Linked DNA regions of Arabidopsis thaliana. The protein of the gene in region 2 interacts with the protein of the main gene of each other region in a pairwise test. Each region holds a gene or a part of one and is shown on either strand. Other genes may lie near its edges.

Region 1 (5,972 bases), on a different chromosome or scaffold from region 2:
AAACTAATTTTCTCATCCATTCTAACTTTAATCTATAGATTAAATTGATCAATTTATTTAAGATTTACATTATAGTATATTTAATTGGTGAAGATAAATTTATATATAAAATTGATTACATTCATCTTTATGAACCAAAAAAAATAAATCCTAAAATCATCTTTTTAGTGAAAGAGGAAGTATATTAGATATAAACATAATTAAGATACTATATCTTTTCTTTTCATTTTTTTATTCAATTTAATTATGATTACACTATTTTATATTTATTAGGTATAGATAAATTCCCAAGTAAAGTATACTTAATAAGTAAAACTGAATACATTCATCTTTATGAAAGCAAACTATAATCATAATCATCTTATTTAGTGAGAGTAATTATTAGATAAGATTATAAGAACATAATGAAGATACTCTATTATTGTCTAATATTTTCTTAACAAGAGAACTCTCTTCTGTAGATAGAGTCTTTCAATGCCTTTAGGCTCTTTGGGGATATTTTGAAAAAAAAAATACTTGTATCCAATCTTGTAAAACCGGATTGGAATGTAAACCGGAAAGTGGTTCGGGTCACTGCATTGGTACGTTCGATCGTCAGTCAATGAGGCCATATATATAGGTCCAGGTTTAAAAACACTGCTCGTACCAAAATATGTCACACAAAGCTATGAAAGATACACAAAGAGATGTAATTGATTTTTACAAGATGTTAGATTATTGTACAACACGATCTCCATCACAATCCTAAACAAAATTACAAAACAAATACCAGTTTTATCATAATACTAATCTTTGCACAACCTTTGCCTTTGCCTTTCTCTTCACAATCTTAGTAAATATATATAGCTGTTGCCAAAGGACTTCTCGGCGGGAATTCTGATCAGTACTTAGAAGAAACCTTGGGTTGCATTTAGAGTGTTTGTATACATATGTTTTAGCCAACAGATTCTTACTCTCAAAACAGAGCTTCCCTTGGTGCACCGATTAAGTTAAGTGCGGTTGCTGCGATGTGAGATGGCATGAGTCCAGCTTCAGCTAGTTGATCAGCTGGTGCACCGTGATCAATGTATCGATCAGGCAGTACCATTGGTCTCCACTGTATATTCAAACAGTTGCAAATTAGAAACAGTATTTTTTGAAAAGACAGAAAAATATTAGAGAGTTTCTGGAAGTAATAAGTAACCTTGAGTTTGCCATCAAGAAGACCATCGAGAGCAAGAAACTGAACAACGTGCGAGCCAAAACCTCCAATGGAACCTTCTTCAACCGTGATCAGAACCTCGTGCGACTTAGCTAAGCTGCGAATGAGAGCACGGTCCAATGGCTTGCAAAACCGTGCATCCGCTACAGTTACGTTTAATCCGCGTTCTTCGAGCATTACAGCCGCTCCTAAACAGCTCTGAACTGCTGAGCCATAACCCAACAACGCAACTCTCTCTCCTTCCTTTAAAATTCTACCTTTCCCAATCTGAAATACACCCAAAGAGATTTTCTATCTCAAAATGATGAAGGAAGAGAGACATATTTGAGAGGACCAAAGTTATACCTCAATTGGAACACCTTTGTTTCCGGGAGGTAATGCAACTCCAATACCGTTACCTCTAGGGTAACGGAAACAAGAAGGACGATCATCAATCGCAACAGCAGTTGCAACCATGTTAAAGAGATCTGCTTCATCTGATGGAGCCATCACTATCATGTTAGGAAGACAAGCCATAAATGTCACATCGAAAGCTCCACAATGTGTCGGACCATCAGCTCCAACGAGTCCAGCTCTATCCATTGCAAATCTCACCGGTAATTTTTGCAAATCAACATCATGGACAACCTACAGAGAAGGCCACCATATACTCTATTAGTTTCTTAAAATGTTTTATTACAAAGTAAAATGATTAAGATGTTGAACTTGCCTGGTCATAAGCACGCTGCATGAAAGACGAATAGATTGCACAGAAGGGTTTAAGGCCTTCACAGGCTAAACCCGCAGCAAAAGTAACTGCGTGTTGTTCCGCTATTCCTACATCGAAACATCTTGTTGGGAAGCGACGTTGAAAGAGATTTAACCCGGTTCCACCTCCCATGGCTGCATGAATCGCAACCACATCTTTGTCTACCTCTGCTTCTGCGACTAATGCCTCCGCAAAGTAAGTTGTGTAAGATTGAGTCTTATTAGTAGTTTTGAACTGTCTACCCGTTGCTGGATCAAATTTCACAACACCTGAAAGAAAAATAATCAATATATATATCCCACTGCTTAGGAACTAGAGAAAACGTTATCTATCTAACTTGTTTTACCATGGTATTTGTCATCAGCTCTCTCCGCGTAAGGATAACCACGACCTTTCTCCGTCACCACATGAATAAGTACAGGTCCTGTGGTTCTGGTACTCTTAACTTCTTTAAGAATGGCTACCAAATCATCTATGTTGTGCCCATCAACTGGACCAATATAGTAAAGACCGAGTTCTTCAAACAGTGACGATCCAGTCCCGCTTATCATTCCTCGAGCATACTCATCTACCTTAGCCGCCAACTGATGCATTGGTCCGCCTATTTGCTTTGTCATACCCTATACGCAAGAAAAGCCAAAATTCTCATCAAGTCCATAAAGACCAGTATTCTTTACCATTCTAGAAAAGAAATGCAATAAACTTGCCTTTGCGACTTCTCTCAACTCTCTGAGAGCCGGGTTAGACTGTAACCGACTAAGAGCACTGCTCAATGCACCAACAGGTGGACTTGGTCCATCCAAAGTAGCTGTAGGTAATGAGACTTGCTTGTTGTCATTAAGAATCACAATCATATCAGAGTCTAGATATCCGGCGTTGTTCATGGCTTCATAAGCCTGTCCTGCCGTCATCGCACCATCACCAATCACAGCAACCACATTGTTGTTCTTCCCCTTCAAATCCCTTCCTACCGCCATTCCTGTAAAACTCATATATCTGATTCAGTTCTGTTTTCTTATTACAGTTTACTGTCTAAACACAACAACACAAGGCAAACACACCAAAGGAATGATTGATTGTATTACCTAAACCAGCAGATATTGTGGTTGAGCTGTGTCCAGTACCAAAGCAATCATGTTCACTCTCTCCTCGTTTGGTGAAACCAGAGAGACCATTGGTTTGCCTCATTGTAGGCATCTTTCCTCTTCTCCCAGTAAGAATCTTATGAGGATAAGACTGATGACCAACATCCCAAAGAATCTTGTCTTGTGGAGTATTGAAAATGTAATGAAGAGCCACAGTAAGCTCCACAACACCAAGACTTGACCCCAAATGTCCACCGGTTTTCGACACATTAAAGATCACGTCTGATCTCAGCTCATCAGAAAGTTGTTTCAGTTCCTGCAATAAGTTGTTACCAAATGCCACCAATCCATCAATTTGTAAGAAAGCTAAAACAAATGCATCAAAGCTAGAATCTTTACCTTGACAGAAAGATTTTTCATGTGGATTGGGTAGTTAATAGTGTCAAGTAATGGAGTTGGTGGTCTGTTTGAATAATATTCACCCTTCTCTGCAAGTGAAGCACACACTTTTGCTCTTCTGTTTGACTGTACCACAACACAAAACCCAAATCGCAAAAGCTGTCATTTTCTCTAATCAGTTCCCAGAAATCAGAACCAAAGAAGCAATATTATTGGTCTAATTTCACTATATTTTCCACAGATTTCCAATAAAGTAACTAAGAAAAGGAGTCAAATTTGTTTGACTTTTGTCAAAAACAAAGTAAACCCATTATTTAATTCAAGATTTCAGCAAATGGGCAAGCTACAAAATCTCATAGTTCTTAAATCAAGTTCCATGATGAAGCAGAGAAGAGAGAAGTGAACTTACATGGGAATTGTTGTTGGGTTTCAGACATGGTGATGGAAGATCTGTAACCAAAGATCTAGAAGAAGACAAAGAAGTTGATTTACAAGAATCAGTTGAAAGTCCTCCTTTGGTTATTATGTAAGAAGGAAAAGCAAATGCAGAAGAAGCCATTGGAGGTACTTTTTGAAGCTCAAGAAAGTTGAAAACTTTAGGAATGTAAGTAAAACATATAAGGATTTATAGAGAATAAAATTTAGGCAAATTTTGAGGTTATCAAAAACAGTAAAACAAATGAATAAAACGCACTTTCGAATCCCACTACAAGTGAAAGTGTGTGTTTAAATGTGGTGGTGACAATGGTGGTGGTGGAGAGTTGAAGAAGTATAAAGATGGAGACTTTAAAAAAATGGGGTGATGAAGTAAAACGACAAGAAAGCCAACTTCATGGATCACGAATTTTATGTAACCGTGCTGATGATATTAAAAAAAAAAAAGAGAGAGAAAAAAAGAGATGGTGAGATGGTTCGTCATCCGCAGAGAACTTGAGATTTTGGTTGGGCCACGTCAACCATGAAATCCAAGTTTTGGATAGATATTGATGATATTATTTATATACGTTAGTACATGTGTATATTGTTTGTTCCTTATTTCATTTATAAAGTTCTTTAAAAAGAAAATGAAAGAAAAGAAAATAAATAAATATATTCACGCATACATACCAAAGACGATAAAGGCAATATAATCTTTTGTGGTATAAAGAAATGGAATTTAAAATGATTATAGAAGAATTGTAATTTGATTTTTTTTTAATAAAAAAATTAACAAGTTTAGCAGGTACTGACAAAGAAAAAAATCTTTACAGTTTTTGATAAAATTGGAAACGTATATTTGTATACAGAAAAAAATCCTACTTTATATATTTCTATATATATATATAATTTCACACTATTATCTTCAATGATATTCCTCTGTTTCTACAAGAATAATTTTTAGATGTTTTACAAGAAAAATTTTTAAAAATAGCTTTTACAGTTTGTTATTTTTATTAATTTAATAATATTAATTTTACTTTTTTCTTTGTTTTTGTCAACAATTTTCTCCTCTTTCTATCGGTAACAAATGAAAGTAAATAATAATGTTGATATAAACATCAAACTATTAGAAACAAAAGGAGTATTTAATATAACCAAGATAGTGCGGTAGTGTCGTAACTCGTAAGTGTATGATTTGGGTTAGTAACTTAGTATTATCGATCTTATTACATTAATAAAGTTTAATATCATATTAAACAACTACATAGATTAAATTTTATGATATTATCACATTATTAAATGAGCGAGAATCACGTTACAAATCCGACAAAACATATAATATTTGACATTCTTGATTATTGGGTTTCAATTGAGTCAAATATGAATAAACAAAACTTACATGAAAGTTTAAGTTTAAGTGTTTAACTAACGACAGTTCCATCACAAAAAGAAAAATTGTAATCACGCGGTTCATTTTATAATATATCAAAACTTATTAAGAAAACAAGCATGTTAAATTGATATGTTAAATTTTTAAATATTGCATTTTCAAAATGATATGTTATTTTTAACTAATTTTTAATGGTGGTTTTTCGATTTTCAATTAGTTTGAATATAACAGTTGGATAAAATTTTGTCGAAACTGCTTGAAATGCAAGATGACAATATTATCAGCTTGTCAGAAATACGTATATGCCAAATTTTCATCATAACGTTTTTTGGAAACTCTCAGATTCAAAGATATTTCTTGAATCTTCTGACAGACAAACTATTGTTTGATCATAATAAACCGACAAAACAATTAATGTATATGCACGTATACATCATAAATATACAAATACGTATTCTCTACCAAAACATTGTAATAGAAAATCGCCTAAAATGTACGAGGCATTCAAATTACTATGTTATTGTTGAAAGCATACCATATTGACGACTTAGTGAATATGACTAAGTAAACTAGATCAATAAACACAAAACCTAGTTCTCAAACTTGATTTTTTCATAAAAAAGTTGTCTTATCAATAGATTGAGAGGTTTTCAAAAAGTTCAAAATATCAAAACGAATAGAGAAGATCTCGAGAGATTGGATAGTTGTGCGAATGCACTCTGATAAACC
Region 2 (3,898 bases):
CCATTGATTTAAATCATTTTGGTAGATTTACAATAGGGCTAATAAGTATGTCTACTTTCTACTTGTAATTAATTTCATATCATTGTATTATATCTATAGTAGCCATTATTTTCCCGATTTTTCCTTGAAGACAATAACATTAAAACAAAAAATCCATGAATCAATATGTTTTGTTTTTACAAATTCAAGTTCACGAAGTACTTTGCAAAATTTTTGTTAGCCTTCTCCGATTGAGTTTCGGCAAAGGGTTGTTTTCTGTGTTAGTGCGCCTCTTGTGTAGGGGTTTTCGTCGATTGGTCTCCTCCGAGTTGGGACTCATGGGTTTGGTCGTTGGGCCTATTAATGTTATGGGTTGTCTCTCTTGTTTCGGTTTGTTACCCTTATTTGTTTGTTTTATTTTATGTTTTTAATCTATGTTAACATTTGTAAGGAATTAGCCCAATATGTTTACATCTCCATCCTCTATCTTCACGCGACTTCATCATCCTCTCTGCCAAGAGTAACAAATTATCAATAACCTGAATCAACGATGGTAGCAATTGAATCGATCATTTAGCTGAAGCTTAAACTTCACGAAAATTAATTTATATCATATGAACGTAATACATATATATCTCATAAGCAAACATCCATTATTTCTTTGTTTCTCTAGTTTCATTTCAAGAAACCCAATAAAAGAGTGAACAAAGGTCCCAAAAAAAAAAAAACATATTAAAGACCAAAAAGAAAAACACAAACGTAGGAAGAAACAAAACCAATATATGTTATCGATCGATGGAGAAGTAGTGACTCTTTTGATTCTTCGATAGTCAAAATCATCCCAGAGAGATTGAATTGTTTCTTTAAGCAGCGACGACTTTGTCCTTGGCGGCATTCTCTCCTCCTCCTTCGAGCTGGCTCAAGTTTCCTTTCTCCTTGATCAGCTGAATATGATGATGCTTGCAATATAGCTTACCCTCGTGAGCTATGTAATTCGAAGGGCTTATCGTGCAGCCTCCATGTGTACACTTGAAGCAGCTCTTGTGGTACAATGTTCCATTCACCGATACCTACACAAAGTCCACATTATAAGCAATGTTTCAGCTCTGGTTTAAGCCAAGAACAGATCAGATTCGTTATGGAAACAATCTAACAATCTTCTTTGACACAACTTGATTCTGATCAGGAAAGATTTGAGATTGGATACCTTCTCAATTGGATACACGGTTTTGTCGCAACCAACGCATTTCTCTCGTGTTCCACCAAACATATTCGAAACTTTGGTTCCAGCAGGTCTCTGTTAAACTTCTCTCATGTTAAATGTTAAAAAAATTCAAGAACCTCAAAAACAGAAAAAGGGTTTTGTTCTGCTGTCCGAAAGTACCTCTCCCTCCAAAGGCCTATCAGGTTTCCCAATCTTTGGTGTCCCTGTACATATATATGAATCAAACTTTAGATAGATAATTCCAAATTTGAAATCCCCACTCACAAAGCTTTTCACATTTTGATCTGTTTTTGGTAATTTACCTTCGAAGCTTTTCTCAAGACTTCCAGTTCTCTTGAAGTTTTGATCGAAATGTGGTCTGCAGTAGAGAACTCCTTCAAAGGAGTTGTAATTGCTAAGCTGACTCATCAAGAAGAAGAAGAAGAAGAAGAAGAAACAGAACAGTCAAATCTTTAGACCAATCAGTTTCCATAGCCAAAAATTCAAAGATTTCTACTTAATTGATTGGACTTCTTCATCTACATATATATCTACTAGATCTACTTCTGGATTAATGAGAAATCATCACAAACTAGAATCAAAGATCAAACCTTGAGAGTTCCTTTGCAATGGTGACATCGGAAACAAGCTTTGTGGTAGACCCGGTTATCGGCGGTTAACTTGTCGACAAGATAAACTGTTTTGTCACATGCCATGCATTTCTGGGTTGTTCCTGCGAACGCCATTCTTGTAAGAGATCAGACTAAAAGACTCAGGAAAAAAGAAAGAAGCTCAATAGTCTTGAGAGAGAGAGAGAGATAAAGAAGAATAAGATGAAGATGAAAGAAAGAGATTGTCAATTATTGTTGCTTGTTTTAATATGGGGACCAGATATATTGAAAAATGAACATGCTTCTTCTTTTTAAATATTTAAAGTAAAATTCTTTTAGGAAAAATTGAAATTTTTAATAAAATGTCACAAACAAAAAAGTTCAAGATGAGTATCGAATTTTGGATGCAAATTCGAATATTTGGTGTTTCTGACAACCCTAGCATTGTTTTTCGTGGTTGTCTAATCCACAAAACAAGATAAGCGATGAATAAATAAATAATTTGAACGTTAGCAACAAAACTAAAAACTGTACTACAAAAAGAAAAGGTTTCAACGGCATTTTTTGTGTTCTTAATTATTTTTGTCCAAACTTGAAGTAACCCGTCAATATCTGTCTCCTAGATATTTTGCTTATATTTTTTTTACATTAATTCAGTTCTTTTATATCTAGAGTCAGGTAATTATTTAGAGAATGCATGCAGTTGCTTGACAGTGCGTAAGATTTACACAAATTTTTCTCAACAGTGAAGGCAATGCTCAATAGTCAATAACTGTTTGTAAGGAAATAGAACAGGGAAAACCAACTGGAAAGAATCTTTGTCTGGTTTTAGATAATGATTAAAAGCTGTATTGGTTATGTTGAATTAGTTGGAAATCTCTAAATATCTATACACTATTTATTTTCTTTAATACTATATGTTGTGTAGTGTGTATATGAATAATGAAAATATCTGAAACATGCTTTACCATAAAGGCTTTTGATGAGCTGTAGTATTGACATAATTGGTTGAAGAGAATGAGTGATCATAATGATACCTAACATCTTTTATTTAATCAAAAATACCTAACGTTATTTTTATTTGCTACTATAATAGACTCCAACCAATTTATTAGTATCATTTTATACAGTTTCTAACATTTTTGCCACTGCTTAGATTTATGGGCTTTCCCTTTCTGTCTGCATGGGCCTCCTCTCTTATATTAATAATCTGACTTAATGAAAACTTTTAAATCTTTTGTAGTTTATTTTCCTCTAGATGCTAATTTTAGCAAAATGAAAAGATGTGTGATGGAAACGTAAAGTTAAAGCAAAAGAAGATGGTGAATTGGTGATGCAATATTTTAGTCATGTGTCATTGTTTACATTTATGATATATTTTACTTTAAAATACTTTTCTTCATTTTCAATTTTTATAAATCTTCGTAGAACACATATTCACAAATGATGCTACTTTGGTGATCAGTTACTAAAAAATACCGAAATTGATTTTAGAAGATAGAGACGTGAATCTGTTTGCCAATATTAATTGGGCTCAACTTAAGCCCAAATTATATAAGGAAAGACTACCTAGTAACGAACAAGTAGCAGGTCAACTGTCCGAGCGTTGGCCAAATCTCTCTCACTTCCACAGGTTTCTCTCTCCGGCCAAATCTAACCTCCGGGGAACGTCGTTGGTCACTTATCACCGGTTAGAATTTCCTTCCCGCTTTATCCCGTAAACTTTTTTCCCATTGATTCCGATCGTTTATGTTCCTTCACCAAATCGATAAAGTTTGATCTTTTTCCTTTTCACTATTATTAACAGACCAATCTGTTTACACAAGAAATCTACAGTAACTTATCACTTGAAAAGTTTTGATAAATAGTTAGTATAATAATTTGTTAATTGTGTGTGTAAATTTGATTTCTTGATTGTGTGTGAATTGTGATGAAGAGGGAAAACAAAAAATGGCGACTTTGGTTGATCCTCCTAATGGGATAAGGAATGAAGGGAAGCATTACTTCTCAATGTGGCAAACTCTGTTCGAGATCGACACTAAGTACATGCCTATCAAGCCTATTGGTCGTGGAGCTTACGGTGTTGTCTGCTCCTCTGTTAACA

The links. Proteins that work in one complex are often made in the same cells at the same time.
Region 1: the proteins of WLIM1 (region 2) and CLA1 interact in a two-hybrid assay, tested with the Arabidopsis thaliana proteins (one study listed by BioGRID).

What each region holds. Positions count from the first base shown.
Region 1 is NC_003075.7:8,882,238-8,888,209, reverse strand, and holds CLA1 (Deoxyxylulose-5-phosphate synthase), read right to left. Parts: upstream 4,386-5,972; 5' UTR 3,993-4,385; coding exon 3,843-3,992; intron 3,560-3,842; coding exon 3,434-3,559; intron 3,351-3,433; coding exon 3,035-3,350; intron 2,929-3,034; coding exon 2,657-2,928; intron 2,570-2,656; coding exon 2,296-2,569; intron 2,219-2,295; coding exon 1,911-2,218; intron 1,829-1,910; coding exon 1,547-1,828; intron 1,469-1,546; coding exon 1,184-1,468; intron 1,097-1,183; coding exon 956-1,096; 3' UTR 543-955; downstream 1-542.
Region 2 is NC_003070.9:3,345,835-3,349,732, forward strand, and holds WLIM1 (GATA type zinc finger transcription factor family protein), read right to left. Parts: upstream 2,306-3,898; 5' UTR 1,930-2,305; coding exon 1,795-1,929; exon of another isoform or gene 1,613-1,794; coding exon of another isoform or gene 1,604-1,612; coding exon 1,507-1,603; intron 1,408-1,506; coding exon 1,364-1,407; intron 1,277-1,363; coding exon 1,187-1,276; intron 1,050-1,186; coding exon 843-1,049; 3' UTR 556-842; downstream 1-555. Other genes in the region: MPK1 (mitogen-activated protein kinase 1), read left to right, coding at 3,745-3,898. UniProt on the Arabidopsis thaliana protein: Binds to actin filaments and promotes cross-linking into thick bundles. Has an actin-stabilizing activity. The actin regulatory activities are not regulated by pH and [Ca(2+)].